3 linked regions of the Macaca mulatta genome follow. The protein of the gene in region 3 purifies or fractionates together with the protein of the main gene of each other region. This does not show direct contact. Links are inferred from orthologs where the notes say so. Each region holds a gene or a part of one and is shown on either strand. Other genes may lie near its edges.

Evidence for each region.
Region 1: the proteins of AKT1 (region 3) and HSP90AB1 purify together in Homo sapiens (co-immunoprecipitation; 3 studies listed by BioGRID and IntAct, with this or other methods). This does not show direct contact. The link is inferred for Macaca mulatta from reciprocal best matches to the Homo sapiens genes AKT1 and HSP90AB1.
Region 2: the proteins of AKT1 (region 3) and APPL1 purify together in Homo sapiens (affinity purification with western blotting; 3 studies listed by BioGRID, with this or other methods). This does not show direct contact. The link is inferred for Macaca mulatta from reciprocal best matches to the Homo sapiens genes AKT1 and APPL1.

Annotation. Positions count from the first base shown.
Region 1 is NC_133409.1:137,860,251-137,868,042, reverse strand, and holds the end of HSP90AB1 (heat shock protein HSP 90-beta), read left to right. Parts: intron 1-610; coding exon 611-817; intron 818-920; coding exon 921-1,080; intron 1,081-1,263; coding exon 1,264-1,397; intron 1,398-1,530; coding exon 1,531-1,839; intron 1,840-2,282; coding exon 2,283-2,448; intron 2,449-2,651; coding exon 2,652-2,842; intron 2,843-2,964; coding exon 2,965-3,112; intron 3,113-3,227; coding exon 3,228-3,496; intron 3,497-3,985; coding exon 3,986-4,319; intron 4,320-4,429; coding exon 4,430-4,539; 3' UTR 4,540-4,817; downstream 4,818-7,792. Other genes in the region: SLC35B2 (adenosine 3'-phospho 5'-phosphosulfate transporter 1), read right to left, coding at 5,631-6,569, 7,249-7,403, 7,589-7,782. UniProt on the Homo sapiens protein: Molecular chaperone that promotes the maturation, structural maintenance and proper regulation of specific target proteins involved for instance in cell cycle control and signal transduction. Undergoes a functional cycle linked to its ATPase activity.
Region 2 is NC_133407.1:120,804,490-120,811,816, reverse strand, and holds part of APPL1 (DCC-interacting protein 13-alpha), read right to left. Parts: intron 6,808-7,327; coding exon 6,661-6,807; intron 5,484-6,660; coding exon 5,401-5,483; intron 4,653-5,400; coding exon 4,494-4,652; intron 3,483-4,493; coding exon 3,294-3,482; intron 879-3,293; coding exon 836-878; intron 1-835. UniProt on the Homo sapiens protein: Multifunctional adapter protein that binds to various membrane receptors, nuclear factors and signaling proteins to regulate many processes, such as cell proliferation, immune response, endosomal trafficking and cell metabolism.
Region 3 is NC_133412.1:178,213,796-178,221,122, forward strand, and holds part of AKT1 (RAC-alpha serine/threonine-protein kinase), read right to left. Parts: intron 6,597-7,327; coding exon 6,468-6,596; intron 3,567-6,467; coding exon 3,455-3,566; intron 2,674-3,454; coding exon 2,526-2,673; intron 2,069-2,525; coding exon 1,937-2,068; intron 1,865-1,936; coding exon 1,799-1,864; intron 624-1,798; coding exon 555-623; intron 201-554; coding exon 75-200; intron 1-74. UniProt on the Homo sapiens protein: AKT1 is one of 3 closely related serine/threonine-protein kinases (AKT1, AKT2 and AKT3) called the AKT kinase, and which regulate many processes including metabolism, proliferation, cell survival, growth and angiogenesis.

The DNA of each region.
Region 1 (7,792 bases), on a different chromosome or scaffold from region 3:
AAGTGCTGTGGTTTCTATATTTGGTGTGTTTATTTTTTTGACACTCTTCGTAGAGAGGAAAGGAGTGGTTTGGCCTTTGTTGGGGACTACTATTGAAGGGGGTAAACTTGCAACTATTCCAAAAAGATTTGTCTTATTCTCTGGCCATCTTGAACTTGAAAGGGAAGTGACTATGTCCAGAAAAAGTGGGCTCATGTAACTAACTGTAGTTCTAAAGCCTCAAGATAAGGGGCAATCAGATTTGAGGCTGAGAGAGGTAAACCAAGATTTTCTTTGAAGACACGGGCTTTAAGAAAGCAAAAGTGACCGAGCGTGTTGACTCACACCTGTAACGCCAAGGCAGGAGGATCACTTGAGCCTAGGATTTCGAGGGCAACCTGGGCAACAGCCAGACCTTGTCTCTGCAAAAAATTAAATATTAGTTGAGCACAGTGGCATGTGCCTGTAGTCCCAGCTACTTGGGAGGCTGGGGTGGAGGATGGCTTGAACCAGGGAGGTCAAGGCTGCAGTGAGCTGTCATCCTTGCTACTACTGCACTGTAGCTTGGGCAACAGAGCAATTGCCTGTCTCGGAGAGAGCAAAAGTAAGTTGCTGTTTGTATTCGTTTCAGGCCTTGGACAAGATTCGCTATGAGAGCTTAACAGACCCTTCGAAGTTGGACAGTGGTAAAGAGCTGAAAATTGACATCATCCCCAACCCTCAGGAACGTACCCTGACTTTGGTAGACACAGGCATTGGGATGACCAAAGCTGATCTCATAAATAATTTGGGAACCATTGCCAAGTCTGGTACTAAAGCATTTATGGAGGCTCTTCAGGTACTGCAGTTCTGTAGGCATACACCATTCATATTCATCAGTGTTCTTTATTTTTTTTGCTGCTTTAAATTTTGTGTTTGACTTTACAAAAACTTGTTGGCAGGCTGGTGCAGACATCTCCATGATTGGACAGTTTGGTGTTGGCTTTTATTCTGCCTACCTGGTGGCAGAGAAAGTGGTTGTGATCACAAAGCACAACGATGATGAACAGTATGCTTGGGAGTCTTCTGCTGGAGGTTCCTTCACTGTGCGGGCTGACCATGGTAAGTTAGCTTTTCTGTTACAAGGTAGCTGGGTTAGAGTTTTGTGGGCTCACCAGTAGCAGAAATTTTGAGCATCCTGTCAAGCAGTTCTTCATAGCAGTTCCGCTAATACTTTATTAATTTGGTGAAGTCTCAACTGCATATACTTTCGTCCTGTTACACGCTTATGATTGACTCTTCTAGGTGAGCCCATTGGCAGAGGTACCAAAGTGATCCTCCATCTTAAAGAAGATCAGACAGAATACTTGGAAGAGAGGCGGGTCAAAGAAGTAGTGAAGAAGCACTCTCAGTTCATAGGCTATCCCATCACCCTTTATGTGAGTATGGACTTTTAAACCTTTTACACTTAGCCTGCAGGATGTTTCCTGTTCTGGAGAATCTCGTGGTCCCTGGCTGCTTCTTTTCCTGGTGTTTTGTACTCCAAGGCTAATTTCTGTTTTTCTTACTTAGTTGGAGAAGGAGCGAGAGAAGGAAATTAGTGATGATGAGGCAGAGGAAGAGAAAGGTGAGAAAGAAGAGGAAGATAAAGATGATGAAGAAAAGCCCAAGATCGAAGATGTGGGTTCAGATGAGGAGGATGACAGTGGTAAGGATAAGAAGAAGAAAACTAAGAAGATCAAAGAGAAATACATTGATCAGGAAGAGCTAAACAAGACCAAGCCTATTTGGACCAGAAACCCTGATGACATCACCCAAGAGGAGTATGGAGAATTCTATAAGAGCCTCACCAATGACTGGGAAGACCACTTGGCAGTCAAGGTGAGAAGCCTTTGCATGTTGGGTCAACATGCAAATATGGAGAGGAATAAGTGGAAGAGTGTTGGCAGGTAATAGACACATGGAACGTGTCCAGCTGATAACAGAAATATGAGAGCCATGTATTTTCACTTACTGATTACCCGGTCATAGTGAAGTGCCATCCTTCCTAATGACCTCACTTTCTCTAAAGGAAATCTGGGTAATGTCTATTGGCAGCCTTACACATCCAGAGTTCTGATCAGAGCGGACTGTTTTCTATATACAGCTAGTATTCGTCTAGATCGTTGAGGGCATTAAGGCTCAGTTTTCTCGGGAACTGCCTGTGTGTGCGCTCTATCCGTTAGGCTTATGGGGAGGATCATTATTCCATTTTTAGGTAATTTGGTGTTGGGGCTAAAAGGCCCTCTTTTGAAATGTATCACTTATTTTTTGTTTTTTTCCAGCACTTTTCTGTAGAAGGTCAGTTGGAATTCAGGGCATTGCTATTCATTCCTCGTCGGGCTCCCTTTGACCTTTTTGAGAACAAGAAGAAAAAGAACAACATCAAACTCTATGTCCGTCGTGTGTTCATCATGGACAGCTGTGATGAGTTAATACCAGAGTATCTCAGTGAGTATCTCCTTGGCCTAATTTAGTTGGGTGAAGTCTTGGGAGGTTTTCGGCATTCTGCCAGAATATCCTAGGTTAAGGATTTTCTGCAATGCATAGTAAGTATAAGGGTTCAGGAGGCTATTAGAGCCTTCTGTTTGAATCTGGGTACCAGCTCTGGTCTAGCTATTTTTACTGAGCTTTCTTATCCTGGTTGATGGCAGATTTTATTCGTGGTGTGGTTGACTCTGAGGATCTGCCCCTGAACATCTCCCGAGAAATGCTCCAGCAGAGCAAAATCTTGAAAGTCATTCGTAAAAACATTGTTAAGAAGTGTCTTGAGCTCTTCTCTGAGCTGGCAGAAGACAAGGAGAATTACAAGAAATTCTATGAGGCATTCTCTAAAAATCTCAAGGTAAAGAGGCAAATGCTTATTCCCTTTACCACTTTCTTAGTAATTACTAACAAATTTTTCTATTCACATAGAAAGTGAATTGTAGTTAAGTTGGATTGTTTTTTCTCTTCCCACTCTTCAAGCTTGGAATCCACGAGGACTCCACTAACCGCCGCCGCCTGTCTGAGCTGCTGCGCTATCACACCTCCCAGTCTGGAGATGAGATGACATCTCTGTCAGAGTATGTTTCTCGCATGAAGGAGACACAGAAGTCCATCTATTACATCACTGGTGCGTTGGTTCTGATGGAAGCCTTTTTGGAGGAGTGGGGAGCACATTTCAGGGCTACCTAGGAACTGGCAGTATGAGGCATTTTAGTCACTGAGTCCATTTAATTACCCTACAGGTGAGAGCAAAGAGCAGGTGGCCAACTCAGCTTTTGTGGAGCGAGTGCGGAAACGGGGCTTCGAGGTGGTATATATGACCGAGCCCATTGACGAGTACTGTGTGCAGCAGCTCAAGGAGTTTGATGGGAAGAGCCTGGTCTCAGTTACCAAGGAGGGTCTGGAGCTGCCTGAGGATGAGGAGGAGAAGAAGAAGATGGAAGAGAGCAAGGCAAAGTTTGAGAACCTTTGCAAGCTCATGAAAGAAATCTTAGATAAGAAGGTTGAGAAGGTAAGCCATTCTGGAGCTAGGATATATTTTGTAACATACCTTTGAGGTGGGCTCCCTCACAATCATGTTTCTACACAATTAGTGGCTTGAGGCACCCTATTTACTGTTTGGAGCCTTCTTGGCTCTTGTTCTCTCCCCTAGCCAGGTTTAAGGCTATTTTAATAAAATTTGGCACAGATAAGGCATTGCTTCAGTTAACTTGTGAGAGTAGATAAAATATTATTTTCTTCTTTTTTTGACTGGATCTCAGCTCACTGCAAATTCAAGTCTCCTGAGTGGCTGGGATTACAGACATGTGCCACCACACCCGGTTAATTTTTTGTATATTTTGTAGAGAGAGGGTTTTGCCAGGTTGGTCTCAAACTCAAGTGATCGGCCCCACCTCCTCCTCCTCCCCCTGCTGGAATTACAGGCTTGACAGTGTCCGTTTTCTCTTTCAAAGTGGTCACTGATCTAATGCAAATCTAAGGCTTTTGTGATTGTCCACAGGTGACAATTTCCAATAGGCTTGTGTCTTCACCCTGCTGCATTGTGACCAGCACCTATGGCTGGACAGCCAATATGGAGCGGATCATGAAAGCCCAGGCACTTCGGGACAACTCCACCATGGGCTATATGATGGCCAAAAAGCACCTGGAGATCAACCCTGACCACCCCATTGTGGAGACTCTGCGGCAGAAGGCTGAGGCCGACAAGAATGATAAGGCAGTTAAGGACCTGGTGGTGCTGCTGTTTGAAACCGCCCTGCTCTCTTCAGGCTTTTCCCTTGAGGATCCCCAGACCCACTCCAACCGCATCTACCGCATGATCAAGCTAGGTCTAGGTAAGCAGCTTTGGTACTTGATGTGGCAAGGAGTTTGTGCAACTAGGCTCCTGTCTGGATTTGACTTAATGCTATTTAATCAAGTCTTACATGGCTTAATTTTACTTTAGGTATTGATGAAGATGAAGTGGCAGCAGAAGAACCCAGTGCTGCAGTTCCTGATGAGATTCCCCCTCTTGAGGGCGATGAGGATGCGTCTCGCATGGAAGAAGTCGATTAGAAGTTCATAGTTGGAAAACTTGTGCCCTTGTATAGTGTCCCCGTGGCTCCCACTGCAGCCTCAAGTGCCCCTGTCCCACCTGGCTCCCCCTGCTGATGTCTAGTGTTGTTTTTCCTCTCCTGTCCTTGTGTTGAAGGCAGGAAACCAAGGGTGTCAAGCCCCATTCCCTCTCTACTCTGACAGCAGGATTGGATGTTGTGTGTTGTGGTTTATTTTATTTTCTTCATTTTGTTCTGAAATTAAAGTATGCAAAATAAAGAATATGCCGTTTTTATACACTTTTGCTCTCCCTTGTGAAGTGGATGTTAATTCTTCCCTAGCTTCTCTATCCCCCCAGCTCTTGCTGTTTTCATGAGCACAGCAAGTTAAGCTGGTTTTGTAGCTAAGATACAGAATACCAGTGAGTCTTAAGAGTGCACACACTGAAGCCAAAGGCAGTTTTTCTGAAAAACTACCGTATAATAATGCCTTTTCAGTCAACCAAAACACAGGACCAAGCCCATTACAGTAATTTAATTTAATAAAATAAAATTATAAGAGCAAAAAGTTACATTTCTAAAGTACCAAAACCTACAACAGGCTCATGGAGTAGAGCCTAGGGATCCAGGAGCATAGGAGGTGGTGGTGCTGGGCAGGGATCTGCATCCCCTTTCCACAACACAGCACCATCTTCACTTCACCCCCCTGGGAAAGCAGCATTGGAGCCTACACCGCTTGTGCTTTTCTCACCAGGGTAAGAAATGCAGGTATTTGCAGAGGGGAGTCTGGAAGGCAGCAGAGCACAGCTAGGGCAAGACTTAAGGAAACTTCTGGGAGGGGGAACTGTGGAACCTACCTATGCCCTCTTGACCCCAAACTCCCCCTCACTGAGGACTATCTCTACCCTGGGGCTCAGAATAAACTGCCTGCTGGAAGATGGGTGACTTAAGGCAAAAGGGAAGGCTGCCTCCTGGGCTCCCCACCCCCTGCTGCAGAGTCTATGATACTGAGAAAACACCTGCATTTTGCCCTTTGAGCCAGCTCCCTCGGGTTACAGTAGGAGAAAATGGTGAGAAGACTATTTCACTTCACCCCTCAGGCCCTCTCCACCCTCAAACCTTCTGCACAGGAGACTCAACAGGCACAGCCTTCTTTCCCCGTTGCTTTAGACGGCCCCGCGCGTAGACTCTGAGTAGGAGGGCAGCAAAGACCACAGCCACTCCCAGCCCTCCCACCACAGTGACAGTGTGGCCATAGAGAAGGCAGGAAAGAAGGATGGCAAAGGCCTGGCGGAGGGTCATGATGATGGTGAAGACAGCAGCCCCGAACTGCCCAATGGTGTAAAAGATGAAGAGCTGGCCACATGCAGAGCAGATGGAGAGTAGCAGGGCATGGGCAGCAAACTCACTGTGTCGCCCCATGAAGCGGGTTCCCTCCAGGAGGGCCCCCTGTTCTAGCAGTGAGCCTACTGTGAAGAGGCAGGAGAAGAAATTGACCCCAAACATCATCTGCACCGATGACATCTTATAGGCAAATAGGGCATCCTGCCAGTTTGAAGTGAAGCTGTCAAAAGCAATATAACCTGCCAGTAAGATGAGGCCTGAGAGTGTGGTGGCCGGAGAGCTGCGGGGCTCTGGTCCGCTGGATAGCAGAAACATGCTGACCCCGATGGAGATGAGGGTGGCTGTCAGGTACTCCCAGTGTTCGTAGCTGCGCCGAGACACAAGCTTTCCCATCAGCATGACAGGGATCACCTTAGAGGCCTTGGCCAGCACCTGGGTGGGGAAGCTGACGAACTTAAGAGCTTCGTATTGGCACCAGCTGCTAAGCACATTGGACAGACTCGCAAAGGAGTACCGGTACATGGGTGCCCCATGCCGGGGCTGCTTGCAGAGGACACAGGAGAGGCCAGCCACAATCAGTGCCAGCACTCGGTTCATTAGCACCAGGAACTGCGAGTCTGTAAAGCGCTCACCCGGTGATGTGGCTGTGGCCCCATAGCTACGGGTCATCACTCTTTCCTGCAGCACACCCCAAGTCAGGTAAGATACCTGTTGGGGAAGGTAGAGGCAAAGGAGACAATAAGCAAGATAATGAAAAGGTAGACAAAAATGGACTTCTCCCTCTTCTTCAGGATGATGCCTAAGTGATTCAAAGGAAAATATACACTTTTTGGTTCCTCTGTAGAAGTTTCTTCTCCCAAGTCTGGATTCACCTTGTAGGGAATCAACTGTGTGTGAAAAACCAATTCAGGGAGGCAAGAACTCTCAGAATTGGGTATCTGTAGTTCAACATGGTATTCAAGGTAGAACTAGTACCCACTGCAAAATGCCATGGGGCCCGCATCTTAGCACTCTCTCACATGCAGTACTGGGGGAAGGCTGAATGGCTCCCCCACAATTTTATCAGTGGGTTTACAGTATGTGAGACACCAGTGCAGGAAGGAAGTATAATAACGGCACAGTAGAAATCACAGAGAATAGGGCAAGTCTTCTGCACCAGACATCTCGAAACAACAGTATGAACTTTCAGTACCAGTGCTGGAGAGAAGAGGAAAGAAAAGAGCATTTCCCCCAAACACCTCCAAGATGGAGGTGCAGTGTGCCTCTGGGAGCAGGACACAAAACACGCCAACTAGCAAAGCCCTGGGACTGGTAAAATGGAAACCTTCGCAGAATCCCTGCCCACTGGCATCCAACCCAGGAAGAGAGCCTGAGCCCACCTACCCACCTGGAGTCCTGTGGCACAGAAGAGCAGCTTCAGGGCCTGCCACATCGGGGTGGTCTCTGCCGCCTCTGTTCGGGGCGCCAGGGGAACCTCATCAGAGGCCTTGGGCTCATTGCCAAAGACACAAGCTTTCACCAGGGGAAAGCAGAGGCCCCTACCTGAAGAAAGCACACAAAGTCAAGCCCCAAATCTCCGTGGCACTTCCTCTTCCCCAGAGCAGCCAGCCTGCCCTGCTGTCCGGCCTACCGTCCTCCCGCCCTCTCCAAGTCATATCCCGTTTGGACTGCTGGCCAAATACCCTCCTTCCCGACCTAGCTCACTTCCCCGCCCTTTCTTCACACACCGGTCTCCAGGTAGTTCTTCCGCCTGAAGTACTGCACCAGGAGGTAGCCAGGTACCATAAAGCTGGCATAGCCAGCAGCATTCACCAAAAATCGGAAGAACCATAGCTGGGTCCATGACTCCGGAGGGGCTTCGGGAGTCTCCCCACCCGCCCCTAGGGAGGGGAACGCAGCCAGCACCACCACTGCCCACCACCTGTAAGGAA
Region 2 (7,327 bases), on a different chromosome or scaffold from region 3:
TCTCCACTCTACATCTTTTGCTTCACTCTCGAGGATTGAAGTGCCTGATGAGCCTCACTAATCTAAACAAATATTTTATTTGGTAAATTATGCAGAGAACAGAGACATTTGTGTGTGTTCCTCAGAGACCGAAAGCAAGTTTTAATATTACTCTTTTCCATAAGAAGTAAATAAAGGTAGATCTCTATAGCATTTCCAACTTTTATCTTTTACCAACACAATTATAATGCCAAATTAAAAGGCGAAAAATCAAGCTAAGATATATTTTCATGGAAGAATGTTTCTCAAGATAAAGGTTTGAAGCATCAATTATTGCTAATACCTTACCTTCCATATCTGATATAGTAGGAGTAAAAATGGAGTCAAAAAGAAAAGGCTCATGAGGAAGAACAGAGACTCCCAAATTTTTGTTTTTCTATCTTTCATTTCTCCAAGATTTTCAGCTTTAGTTGTTTCCTTGCCATGTCACATCTGCTGCCACTATGTTCTTAGTGCAGCAAATAGTGTCTCAAAGGATTGGTGAGAGAAGACAGTAAATTAAACTGTCACCTCATGATACTAACAGCCTGCCAGACAGCAACAGTCACAAGGTCATTTCTCAATCTGAGTCTTTAAAATAGCAGAGATGATCTCTAAGGTCCCTCCCTCTACAAAATTCTGTGAGAAACAAGAATATTGCTCAAGGACAATAGACCTTTACCAAAAAAAGAAAAAGAAAGATTTTTAATTAACTAGGATTTTCCAAAATTTCTACAATAAACATATTAATATATGTTTTGTCATCAGAGAAATATTTTTAAATGTCAATGAAGAAATGAACTAAGTAAAATCTTACCTCTTCATGATCTTTTTTACTCTCTGCTTGCAAAATTGAAGATCTGGAAGAGAAGAGACATTTGAGCCTCAACTGTTTAAAAAAGTATTTTCAACATAATCTGAGAGAACTTTTTAATCTTTAAAGGTAAAGGCATGTATAAAAACCAATCGGTATTAAAAGAACAAAAACAAAACACAACCAACAGTATCTTAGGAAAAGGAGACCACCAGAGGTATCAGGATGCAGACTTTAACAACTCTGACTTTGGCTACCTATCCCAAGATGTACCAAAAAGGAAACAGGTGCTGATCCTTAGAAGACAGACCATGACAAAGTTACATTTCAGTGAAGGCAATACATTTCAACTTATCATATATATTTCCTATATATTATGAACTATCATATATATTTCAAATATGCATCAATGATCCTAATAGCAAAAACTTTACTTCATTATTTCTCCTTTAATATTAAATCAAATATTTCAATGTTACTCATTAACATATCATTAATTCACTTTTCTACAGATATAATATTAGAGTTAGAGAAAATAATAATTTTTACTAATTTTGCATCACACCAGGAATATGAAATGGGAAATCAGGTAAGCATTAAACAAAAAGTAAGTACTTATAGTAAGTAACATGTTAACAAGTTGGTAATTTTGATAAATGAATACAGTGATTCCCAATATCTAGTGGGATAAATCCACACAATATTGGCATTCATTGTATGTTTGTAGAAGGAATGTGAAATTAAACAACCATTTTGATAAAGGATAGTGAGCTATAATATCTTTTTTTTTTTTTTTTTTGAGACAAAGTCTCACTCTGTTGCCCAGGTTGGAAGGCAGTGGCGCGATCTCGGCTCACTGCAACCTCTGCCTCCTGGGTTCAAGCAATTCCCCCTGCGTCAGCCTCCCAAGTAGATAGGATTACAGGCACCTGCCACAATGCCCAGCTAATTTTTGTATTTTTAGTAGAGACTGGGTTTCACCATGTTGGCCAGGCTGGTCTCAAACTCCTGACCTCAGGTGATCCACCCACCTTGGCCTCCCAAAGAGCTGGGATTACAGGCGTGAGCCACCAAGCCTGGCCTATAGCATCTTTTTTTCAGGGGTAAAGGTCAAATTTATTTATTTGTATAATATCTTAATGTGCATAAATACAGGGGAAAAAAATGACTTTCAGGGAACCCAGAGGCTGCTCCTGATTATTAAATTAAGAAAGTTCAAAGGTTAAAAGCAGTATTTTAATTGAGTGGGGGAAAAATGGCAGATAGTCTAAACATCTATCATTAGGAAAATGTTTAAATTATAATGTATGTCCTTAAATAGATTATAGAATAGCCATTATAACATGTTTTTAATAGGTGGCTGCAAATCCAAATTACAGTATTTCTTCAACTATTTTTAAAATGTACTTAGGTTAAAAATTGGAAGGCAATGGACAAAAAAGTTAATTGTTGCTTTCGATTAATAAGACAGTAGAATTTTTTCATACTCCTTTTTAAACTTTCCATGCTTTTTGAAAATTTCTTTTAAATGCTACTTTAAAGATTCTCATTTAATGCAAAAGTAATAGAAGCTTGGGCGTGGTGGCCCAGGCCTATAATCCTAGCACTTTGGGAGGCTAGCGCAGGAAGACCACTTAGGTCCAGGAGTTGGAGACCAGCCTGGGCAACATGATGAGACATCTCTACAAAAAAAATTTTTTTTAATTGCCAGACATGGTGGCATGCACCTGTGATCCTAGCAACTTGGGATCCTGAGGTGGGAGGATCCCTTGAGCCCAGGAGGTTGGGGCTACAGTGAGCCATGTTCACACCACTGCATTCCAGCCAGGGAGACATAGTAAGACCCCACCTCAAAAAAAGGTAATAGAAATTTTTTTAAATGGTATTATAAACATTAATGGAAAAATAATCTGATCAGAAATATTTGATTAACATTTTAAAATAACACTGTTGTTAGCACCTACTGTATGTCAGTCACATTACATATGTTAGAATTTCTGTTCCTCACAACAATTTACGAAGTAGGGATTACAACCCCCCCACTCACATTTTACATGAACAAAAATGGAGCTGAGAGGGGTTACAGACATTACTCTGCTGTCTGAGACCACAGAGTAAGTAATGGATCCAGAATTTGAACTTTCTGACTCCAGGTTTAGGACTCTTTCCATGAACTTGTTCTGTATTCCCCGATGCTACACAGGATTTTCAGTTCCAGTTCCCTAACATGAAATCACAGGTCTTTACTATATGACATTGCTTTGACAACCTCAAAATATCAACAAACCATTTAACCAAGACAGAAACAAAAATTCAATATATTTCTACAAGATTAAAAAGCAATTTATCTTAATACATATGAACCTAAAATGTCCATAAAATTTCTAAACAAAAAGGAATTATCCCACATTTCAGAAGTTTAAAATATTATAGATAATTAGTAGTAGGAAAAAATACTAACTTTTTTCCATCGAAAGAAGTGATCTGAAAACAATATCGTCTGTCTTCACAGTCCACAGCCATCACTGAACAGTTGTCTATGTCCATGGCCAGGCCTCCTGCTACATCCCCACGGGCCTGACTCATTAAATTTCCACCCTGCGTGAAGTAAAACTGTCTGTCCCAGGTAGATGACACCAAGCCTGTTTTACTAAATGAAGAAAGCACATTCACTCTTTAATAACAACATACCTGAATCTCATCATCAGCTAGACACAAGATAAAGCATGTTACAAAGAACTGGCTTCCGAAAAGCCACCAAGATGCCAAGAAACTAAATATAAATATGCTTTCAGTCTCTAAAATAAATTCATGTATATTGACTCACTTTTGTGAATGTGTATACAGTTTCCAAAACAAGGCTGGAAATTATCAAACTGTGGCTGTTATAATAACGATCCATAAAATACAGGTTATAGTTCAACTTCCAAGGGAGTAAATTCAAAACAATAGAATTTATTTTATTTCTAGGGTTAACCTGCTTCATCCTATCATCAGGTGAAAACTAACATTTGACTTGGTGCTATAATTACAAATATATTAAAGTATGATAAATGATATTTCGCAGCATTCTCATGTGATGATACCATATGTGAATATTTACTTAAACTCAAATTAGTTTCAGTTCATTTTTTTTTTGAGACAAGAGTCTCACTCTGTCCCCTAGGCTAGAGTGCAGTGGCGCGATCTCGGGTCACCGCAACCTCTGCCTCCCAGGTTCAAGTGATTCTTGTGCCTCAGCCTCCTGAGTAGCTGGGATTACAGGCATAAGCCACCATGCTTGGCTAATTTTTGTATTTTTAGTAGAGGTGGGGCTCCACCATGTTGGCCAGGCTGGTCTCGAACTCCTGACCTCAGGTGATCCACCTGCCTTGGTCTCCCCCAAAGTGCTGGGATCACAGGTGTGAGCCACCACGCCCAGCCTTGGTTTCACTTCTTTTATCATTCTACATTATTCAATAAATAGCTAGGTAGGATTTTACTTCTGAAAAGTATTTACGTACCTCATCTGTCAAAAAGTTCACATAATACTAACACCTCTAAAAAGTTTCAACCTTTAATAAAAATCAAAACAATATGACAGACATCAATTATTTATTATATTCATTTGGTATTGTCTTACATGATATACAATATACAAAAATAACAATAGTTTTCTTACTTCCTAGCATTAAGGTATCCAGCCTTTCGGGTTAAATTTCGATTAACAGGAAATTTGGTGGGGTCTGGGTCAGGCACATATAAGGGATCACTGGCTACTTCCAAATCCTCTATTGTCTGTTGCATGGTCTCTATATCACTGTCCATTTCCCTGCGAACACTGATACAGAACAGATTATTTACTATAAATCACAATCAATGTAGAACTCCTTACTAATCATGTTTACCTGCATATTTGTTTTGGATATGTTTTCTTAAAGAGAGGAAATGTGGCATGCGTGGTTAAAACAACACAAATACATTTTAAAACAGGTTTACAGTTTATTTGAAACTTAGATATTTTGGAAACAATACTAAATTCAAAAAATGAATGAAGCCCCACTGAATCCCTGATTTTGGCATAATTTTCAAACTGCGCCTTTAAAACAGAGGTCCTGTGCCTTTAAAACAACAATCACTTTCATCTCTCTCCATACCGTGGACAGACCACATATACTGCTCAGCATTTTGAACCTGATGAGAACTGCTTTCTCTCTGTCTTTAAGCTTTCATGGCGTGGAAACAATATTTAGTAATCTCCCATTAAACTCCCACAATTTCAAGTTTAAAGATAATTTCACTTATGGGGAATTACTATTATGTGTCTGTTTTATTCAGACATAAAACTGAGTTTAGAATCAAATTATCACCATTAAGAAATTCGAAGTTCACAATCTATGGAAAAAAGAGGTAAAAAAAAAAAAAAAAAAAAACAAGAAGTAGCCATGAACCATATAAGAAACTCTCATGGCAGGGAAAATATTCACTCAGGAAATTAAATGATAAATATCTTTACATTTGATATCACTGAGCTGTTAAGCTATCATTCACATCATTTCATTTTCAATTTTAAGGAAAAAAATACTTACTTCTGAACGCTTGTTCCAATATTAGCTAAAAATTCTTCCAGTTGTTCATTAAGATTTTCAGAACCCATCTTAAAGAAACTTATCTGGAGAGCAGGGAGTCAGGGGAATTGAACAATACAAAAATACATTAAGCAATACTTAAAGTAAATCATATAAACAATCTCTAAGATACATGGTTAGGTAAAAAACAAAGGAATATTCCCATTTGTGTAAAAATACATTGTAGTTTGTGATTTCTACTGCACATGGAGCCATTAAGGAAGTTAGACTTAAATTCCACTATATATCCTTTTATATTTTTTGAATTGGAACAAGTAATACATATGTATGGTTAACAATCTTTTAAAATTGGAAAATAAATTTTAAAGTATTTCCAACAAATTATATAAAGTATTTCATGTTTACTACAAAGATAAGTTTTCTATCTGATGAATAATCAGTAAAGTACTCTTTTACTTAAATAGATTCAATTTTTTGTTTTTTTTTGAGACAGGGTCTCGCTTTGTCATCCAGACTGCACAGTAACACCTCATTGCAGCCTCAGCCTCCTAGGCTCGAGGGATCCTTCCATCTCAGCCTCCCAAGTTGCTGGGACCACGGAGACATGCTACCAAGCCCAACTAATTTTTTCAATTTTTGTAGAGATGGGGTCTCCCTACATTGCTAAGGCTAGTCTTAAACTCCTGGACTCAAGTGATTCTCCTACCTCGGCCCTACCAAAGTGCTTGATTATAGGCATGAGGCACCGCACCTGGCCTCAATTTTCTTTAAACTCTTAATTTTTAGGAGACTGACACTTTGTCTTATACTACCCAAAACAAATTTCTAGCCCCCTTCCTGATGTACCTTGGGGCACGCTGGAGTTCATCTATTATTTTTAACTCAGGAAGTATGCAAGGAATATGGGATAAACTCAAACCTGTTCATTCTCTTTCAGATCTATTATGAAGCAAGTGTTTAGTTGAAGCTCCAGCAATAGGTGTAACTCTGAAATTCATTTAGCTTTCTGTTCTCAGTCCCCAGCTACGGTGAACAAGTGGTTTCATTTACCCTAAAATATTTGAAATCTTCATTTGCAAGGAAAACCATTCTTCCTAACTTCCTTAAAATAACAGTCTGATGACATTTTTTAAAATTACTTCCACAGACATGAACAAGGATGTTGAAAATAGTTTATAAATCTTTATACTTAATGTAAATATCAAGCTTAATATAAAGCTTTTAGGACAGTTATAATCCAAAATACAGTACAGTATTTACCTGAGCTTGCATGTACCCAAGTAGAGGTTCTAACAATGCTATTTTCTTCTTGTACTGAAGAGTATTTAATGCACAAAAATAATGCATCATGGTCTGGTGTTGTTTCTTTCTGGACGTGTACACATCTTCTGTTACTTCATACTTCACCTTTGAATGAAAAGATTTAAATAATTAAGTAAATAATCTACTATTATTTACTTAATTTTGTATTATCTTCAGTAGGAGCTGTGGAGAAGAGCCCACCGAGGAAAAGGTGTATCACAAGCAATTGAGCATTGATGTTCCTGTTTCTGATCTTTTAGAAATCCTTCAACATACTGGTTAAGCGAATTTTCCTGTTTAACTTCCTTCCAACCACATAATTTACAAAATGCACATTGAGGCCAGGCGTGGTGGCTCATGCCTGTAATCCCAGCACTTTGGGAGGCCGAGGCAGGAAGATCACTTGAGGCCAGGAGTTTAAGAGCAGCCTGGTCAACATGGTAAAACCCTGTCTCTACTAAAAATGGAAAAAAATTAGCTGGGTGCGGTGGTACATGCCTGTAATTCCAGCTACTAGGGAGGCTGAGGCATGAGAATAGCTTCACCCTGGGAGGTGGAGGTTGCAGTGAGCCAAGATCACACAACTGTACTCCAACCTGGGCGACAGAGACTGTCTCAAAAAAAA
Region 3 (7,327 bases):
GGGAAAGGTGGCCTCAGGTCAGTGCCGCCAGGCTCCCAGGGCCCTGCCCCCACCCCGAGTGCCCGCCGGCGCACCTTGAGGTCCCGGTACACCACATTCTTCTCCGAGTGCAGGTAGTCCAGGGCTGACACGATCTCGGCGCCATAGAAGCGGGCCCGGTCCTCAGAGAACACACGCTCCCGGGACAGGTGGAAGAAGAGCTGTGGGAAGCACGACCTGAGGCACAGCCGTGGCCGGGGCCTCTGCCCCCACGGCCTGCAGGGTTGGGGTTTCTCAGGCAGGGGCTCAGGGCATTGGGCACAGGGAAGGGACCAGCCCCCAGAGGGCACGGGGGCCTGGAAAGTCTCAGAAGCCCTAACTCAGCAGGAACAAGTCACCCCACAGCAGGCAGCTGCCTGGGCAGGCGTCATACCACCCACCCAGCAGGGAGCACCGTCTGGTGCTGTGGAGAGTAGCCGAGGTTCCGGGAAGGACCAGCCCCACTATGGGTGGCCCAGCTGCCAGGGCTGGGTCCACAGGCCGTGAGGCCCATCCCCCGCAGCCCCAGCCCCTACCTCGCCCCCATTGGCGTACTCCATGACGAAGCAGAGGCGGTCGTGGGTCTGGAAGGAGTACTTCAGGGCCTGCAAGGAAGCGGAGCTGGAACTGCAGCCCCACGGGCAGGACAGCAGCCCCACACCACGCTGCCCGATACCATGCTGCTTGATACCATGCCACCCGTAGCCCCACACCATGCTGCCCGACACCACGCTGCCTGATACCATGCTGCTTGATACCATGCCACCCGATACCATGCCACCCGTAGCCCCACGCCACGCTGCCTCACACCACATTGCCCGATACCACGCTGCCCCACACCACGCTGCCCCGCACCACACCCCCACATCACACTGCCTCACACCACATTGTCCCACACCACACACCCCCACATCACACTGTCTCACACCACATTGTCCCACACCACACACCCCCACATCACACTGTCTCACACCACATTGTCCCACACCACACACCCCCACATCACACTGCCTCACACCACATTGTCCCACACCACACACCCCCACATCACACTGTCTCACACCACATTGTCCCACACCACACACCCCCACATCACACTGCCTCATGCCACACCCCCACACCACGCCATCAGGCTGGGCCCTGGCAGCCCCTGAGGCGCCAAGGAGTGTTTGAAAGGTGAGCAAAGTGGCCTGGGCTCAGGTCTCCAGGGCGGGTTGGGACCTCAACAGGGGGCAGTGCTCCCAGCACCAGAGCCCTGGCAAGGGAGGATGCACCCTCCCAGGCAGAGCCACCTTCCTGCCTTCCACCACAGGCGGCTGTGCTTTTAAAGCAAAGGCCCCTTCTGCAGGAGAATCATCCCCAAACACAGTGACCTGGAACTAACCACGTGGCTGGAGTCTGGCCCCCTTCACAGTAAATACCTCCTGGGTCGAGTCCCCAGAACGGGCTCCCCAGGACAGAGCCCGGGCCTCAACAGAAGCCTGGCAGGCAGGGCTGCAGGGCATGGGGAGCTGGGGCCTCCCGGAGCCTCGGCAGAGTGCAAAGACGACCAGGGCCACCTGCCCCACCTGCCTGCACACAGGAGCGGCGAGCACAGCCCCCAGCCCACATCGGGCACCTCCACAGCCTGACCCTCCGGGGCAGGCCTGTCACCAGCGGCAGAATCCGCGGTGCGTAAAGTCCTCACGTGCCCAAGAAGACAGGACATCGTTCCCTAGAGACAGCCCCAGGAGTCGCCACCTGACCCCAGCCCTTCAGCCCCATCTGGGCTCCCACTCACCGTGAGGAAGGGGTGCCTGGAGTTCTGCAGAACACGGTTCTCGGTGAGTGTGTGGGCCACCTCGTCCTGTAAGGCAGGGCTGGGTGAGCTGCCGCCCAGCATCCTCGTCTCCACCCTGCCCCACCACCCCGGCCCCACCTTGGCCACGATGACCTCCTTCTTGAGGATCTTCATGGCATAGTAGCGGCCCGTTGCCTTCTCCTTCACCAGGATCACCTTCCCGAAAGTGCCCTTGCCCAGCAGCTTCAGGTACTCAAACTCGTTCATGGTCTGTGGGCAGGCACCAGGGTCAGCGGGGGGCGCTGCCCACAGTGCCCAGCTGGTCGGCATGTGTCAGGTGGCATGGGGGCCCCAGAGTCACCCTTGGCAGACTTGGAGGCGGAGCCAGGAGAGGCGACCGCTTCACACCTGGTGGCCTGCGGGGCTCAGCGGGGAGTCCGGACTTACAGGGAACACACGGTGCAGCCCTAGCTCAGAGCGTGGGGTTCGGGGAAGGGTGGGGTAACACTGCCCAAGCCTGGCAGGGCTCAGCAGCCCCACTATTTCTCTGACATAGGGAAGAGGACCCACCTGGGAAGCAGCTGCGCCCCACATGGAAAACCGGCCTAGATGGGGATGCTGTGGAGTGCTGAGTGTCTCCTGGGCCAAGCTGGGACCCCATGACCCACCCAGCTCTCCACAGCCCAAGGTAGCCCCAGGCATAGGCAGAAAGGGGGACAGGCCTTACCACACGGTGCTTGGGTTTGGCCAGGGACACCTCCATCTCTTCAGCCCCTGAGTTGTCGCTGGGTGAGCCCGACCGGAAGTCCATCATCTCCTCCTCGTGCTTCTTGAGGCCATCGGCCACTGTCTGGATGGCGGTTGTCCACTCCTCCCTGCAGGAGGTCAGGTGAGGCTGTAGCCCTGCACCTCACCCCATGAGGTCAGGAGCTCCACCCCACGGCTTACACCCACCCTCCAGCCTCACAAGCGGGGTCCCCAGAGACAGCCCTGAGGAGGCCACCCCTTGACCTGGGCTGGCCACACACACTCAGGGTCAGAAAGCCCTTCTGGACCTGAGGGACACGCAGGCTTAGCCCCCAAGTAGGGTTCAAGCCCCCAGCAGGGCTCTGTCCCCACAGGCAAACTCCAACCCCCAGCAGGACCCAGGCCCACAGCAGGACTCCGCCCCCCAGGCTTGCTCTATCACCCAGGCTGGAGTGCACTGGTACAATCTCGGCTCACTGCGGCCTCCGCCTCTTGGGTTCAAGCAATTCTTGTGCCTCAGCCTCCCAAGTAGCTGGGATCACAGGTGTGCACCACCACACCCAGCTAAGTTTTATATTTTTAGTAGAGGCGGGGGTTTCACCATGTTGGCCAGGCCGGTCTTGAACTCCTGGTCTCAAGTGATCTGCCCATCTCAGCCTCCCAAAGTGCCAAGATTATAGATGTCGGCCACTGTGCCCGGTCCCTAGACAGTTTTTATCTCCAGCCTCAGTTTCCCCACCCAACCCCACAGGACTGGGCCAGTTTCCAAACCGGGCTCTGAGGAGGGCCTGGGATCACTGGGGAGTAAGGATGGCTATAGGCAGAGGCGCCCAGCACCCGCCATCCCCACGTCCCTCCTAAGCGCTAGGGCTGCCCAAGTGCCCGGCCTGGCCGCCGCAGCCCACGTACCGCTCCTCGGGAGTCTCCACGTGGAAGGTGCGTTCGATGACAGTGGTCCACTGCAGGCAGCGGATGATGAAGGTGTTGGGCCGGGGCCGCTCCGTCTTCATCAGCTGGCACTCTGCGGGCAAGCAGAGCCTCTGTCTGCATGCATCCCCCTGCCCCTCCCAGGGCCCTCACCACAGTCCCCACCGCACCAGCCAGCTCCCCTTGCATACCACCCACAAGTCCTAGGAAGCCCCACCTCCTCCTCTCTCCAAGCCTCAGTTTCTCGCCTCATAGAGTGGGGCTAGGACCCCCATTCCAGCTCAGACACTCTATTCCAGGTTGAGGCAGCCCCAAAGGGCATCTGGCCCAAGGTCAGGTCAACCCCCCCGCATCGTCCCCTCCTACAGTCCCCTTCCTTCAGTCACTGAGCCCCACCGTGCACCAGGCCTCAGAGGATGAGGGATATGGAGATCCCACAGAGGGGCTGGCATGAGGGGGCCACCCCAGAAAGCAGCTTGTCCCACCTAGTGTAGAAATGTCCTGCTATTTTCCCAATCTCACCCTGAGTACCTGGGAAATACACCTGGGGGCACACGCACACCTGGGGGCACAGCCACACCTGGTGCACAGCCACACCTGGGGCACACCACACCCGGGGCACACCACACCTGGTGCACAGTCACACCCGGGGCACAGCCACACCTGGGGCACAGCCACACCTGGGGCACACCATACCTGGTGCACACCCACACCTGGTGCACACCCAAACCTGGAGCACACCCACACCCAGGGCACACCCACATCTGGGGCACACCCACACCTGGAGCACACCCACACCCGGGGCACACACATATGTGGGGCACAGCCACACCCAGAACAGTCACACCCAGGGCACACCCACATCTGGGGCACAGTCACACCCGGGGCACACCCACATGTGGGGCACAGCCACACTCGGAACACAGCCACACCTGGGGCACACAGTCACACCAGGGGTACACCCACACGTGGAACACACCCACACCCGGGGCACACCCACACTCGGGGCACAGCCACATCTGGGGCACACACACACCTGGGGCACAGCCACATCTGGTGCACAGCCACACCTGGGGCACACACACACCTGGAGCGCACACACACCTGGGGAACACATACGTGGGGCACAGCCATTCCTACTGCACATACACCCTGAGGGCTGTGGGAACGTGCGGGGCCCTGAGAGGTGTGAGTGAGTGCAGTGTGTAGCCGCTGGGGCTCCTTGGCAGGCTCTGGCCCAGCCTGTGCAAAGCAGGAGGGGGCTGAGGGGCCAGTAGGGGGCCTCTGACATTCCAGCATCGAGGCCCTGGCAACCACAAGGGGGCCTGGCCAGGCAGCGAGGGAGCTGTCTTCCAGGCCTGGGGGCCAGGAGGGGGCTCGGGACCAGCCTGGTGGGGAGGGTGGCCTGTGTCAACACAGGCCAGAGAAGTGGAAACCAGTGTGAAGCCCCGGCACACCCACCTCCCACTTGCTCCTGGATGGTCTGATCTGCCCTAATATGCAATCCCCAGGGCCAGGGTCTCGAGCCCACTGCCCCGGAACCCTTCCCCGGAGAAAAGCTCCTGGCCCCTGCCCAGCTCTGCTCCTTGGCCAGGCACTCCAGACCACCCACCTATGGCCTCATCTGAAGGCCCCAGCCTTGCCGGCTGCTCAGGCACCACCCCAGCTGGTACCCACCCGTGTGCCTCCCCAGAGAGCTCCCCTCTTCCTTCCTTCCTGATGCCTCGGCCTGGCGAGCACACCCACAGCACCCGTCCCCAGCAAGGCCCTGTCCCAGGTGCCACCAGGCACACAGCGAGTATCCAGCCTCTCCCTGATCCCTGAAGCCCCCAGCCCCAACCAAGGAGACACTGGGGAGGGCGTGGGGCAAGTTACGCAGCCCTGCCACATACAGATGGCCCACAACTGGGTCCTACTTAGCTACTCAATCACACCTTTGGCTGCCACGGGCAGAGCTGGGCTCCAGGACAGGGACACAGAAAATGGGGACCATGCTGGGAGGCCCACGTGCCCCCAGCCTCCCACCTAGCAGGGCGCCTGGGTCTCCATGCCAGGGTTCCCGTCTAACATGGGTAGGGTCGCACCTGCCCCCGCTACAGGTAGGAAATAAAGCCACAGCAGGGCGAAGCAGGGAGTGTCACGTCTCTCATCTCTGTGGGATGCTCTGGCCAAGGTCCCCCGCTGGCCTTTCTGCACCCGCCCCTTCGTGGGCAAGGAGGCTTCCAGCCTGCAGCCTCACAGAGGGAAGCAAAGGTTCCGCCACGGGGTTTGGGGACCGAGCGCCTGTGCGGGCAGAGGCATGAGCTCTTCCTCGAGTGATGGAGGCTTCAGAGCTAGAGACCCAGGTGGGCTCTATCTGCCCCGCTTGGAGGAGGGGCCCCCGGGTCAGCTGTCCACCCTGAGGCTAGGCTCTGCTACCACTTGTCTGGACCCTCCAGCCTCCAGAGCATGGGCACCAGGGAACTGCTCCACAGTCAGCCAGCATTGGGACTCGGCCCAGAGACCCCCGCCTAGCCAGCCTCAGGACTCAGCTCAGAGACCCCTGCCCAGCCAGCCTCGGCCTCGGGACTCGGCCCAGAGACCCCCGCCTAGCCAGCCTCAGGACTCAGCTCAGAGACCCCTGCCCAGCCAGCCTCGGCCTCGGGACTCGGCCCAGAGACCCCCGCCTAGCCAGCCTCAGGACTCAGCTCAGAGACCCCTGCCCAGCCAGCCTCGGCCTCGGGACTCGGCCCAGAGACCCTCGCCTAGCCAGCCTCAGCCTTAGGACTCAGCCTGGAGACCCCCACCCAGTCAGCCTCGGCTTTGGGACTCAGCCTGGAGACCCCTGCCCAGCCAGCCTCGGGACTCAGCCCAGAGACCCCCACCCAACCCGTGCTTGTTGCTTGCTGGCCCAGAACATGGAGGCTCCAGGGCACCCCCATCGGGGGGCCTGGTGGGCAAAGAGGGCTCCAGCCAACCCCAAATCTGAATCCCGAAAGGCTGAGGGGACACTTACGTGCCACAGAGAAGTTGTTGAGGGGGGCCTCACGTTGGTCCACGTCCTGCGGCCGCTCCTTATAGCCAATGAAAGTGCCATCATTCTTGAGGAGGAAGTAGCGTGGTCGCCAGGTCTTGATGTACTCCCCTACGGACGTGCAGGTGGTGAGGGCCATGCACACTCTACCCGTCAGACCCTCGCCAGGCAGCCAGGTAGCAACTGGTGTGCCAGGACAGATGTGCCTGGGACGCCTGAGTCCCGGGGGGCAGGCGCAGTGGGGGAGCTGTTTCTTAGGGCAAGCGACAGAAACAGCCCTGGGTCAGTGGGAAGGCAGACTCGCCCCACCACAGCGCCCCTCTCAGAAGAGCCACCCCTATCTGTGTGTGAAAACGGGCTGGGCCAGCTGGACGCAGGGGATGGAGTACCATTGACAGGAGGCTGGGAAGAGGTCTGGGCCAATCTGCACAGCCTTCCTGGAAGAGGCAGCACCAAACCAGCCAGTCCCCAGCAGGCACCAGCAGCAGCTCCGGCACCAGCTATGGCCACAGGGGCTGCAGGGCTGAAAGCATTCCCCAATCAACCAGGGTTGGCCAGGTGGCGACAGCAGCTGACAGTGGCATGTGTGGGCTGTCCAGCAGGGCCGCCCCCCGACCCCTGCTACCCACCAAGAGGATGGAGCATGGCGTCAGCAGTGAGAGATCAGCATCACTCAGACTGAGGGCCGGGCTTGCGGGACAGGACTGCCCCACTGCCGTGGGACAGCACTCCCTGTCTAGGGGCCTGGAGCACAGTCCTGGGGACTGCCAGTGAAGCCAGACACGGAGGTGGCCCAGCCAGCTGGGCAGGGGCCCCGGGGCACAGAGGCTGTCAAGTCCCCA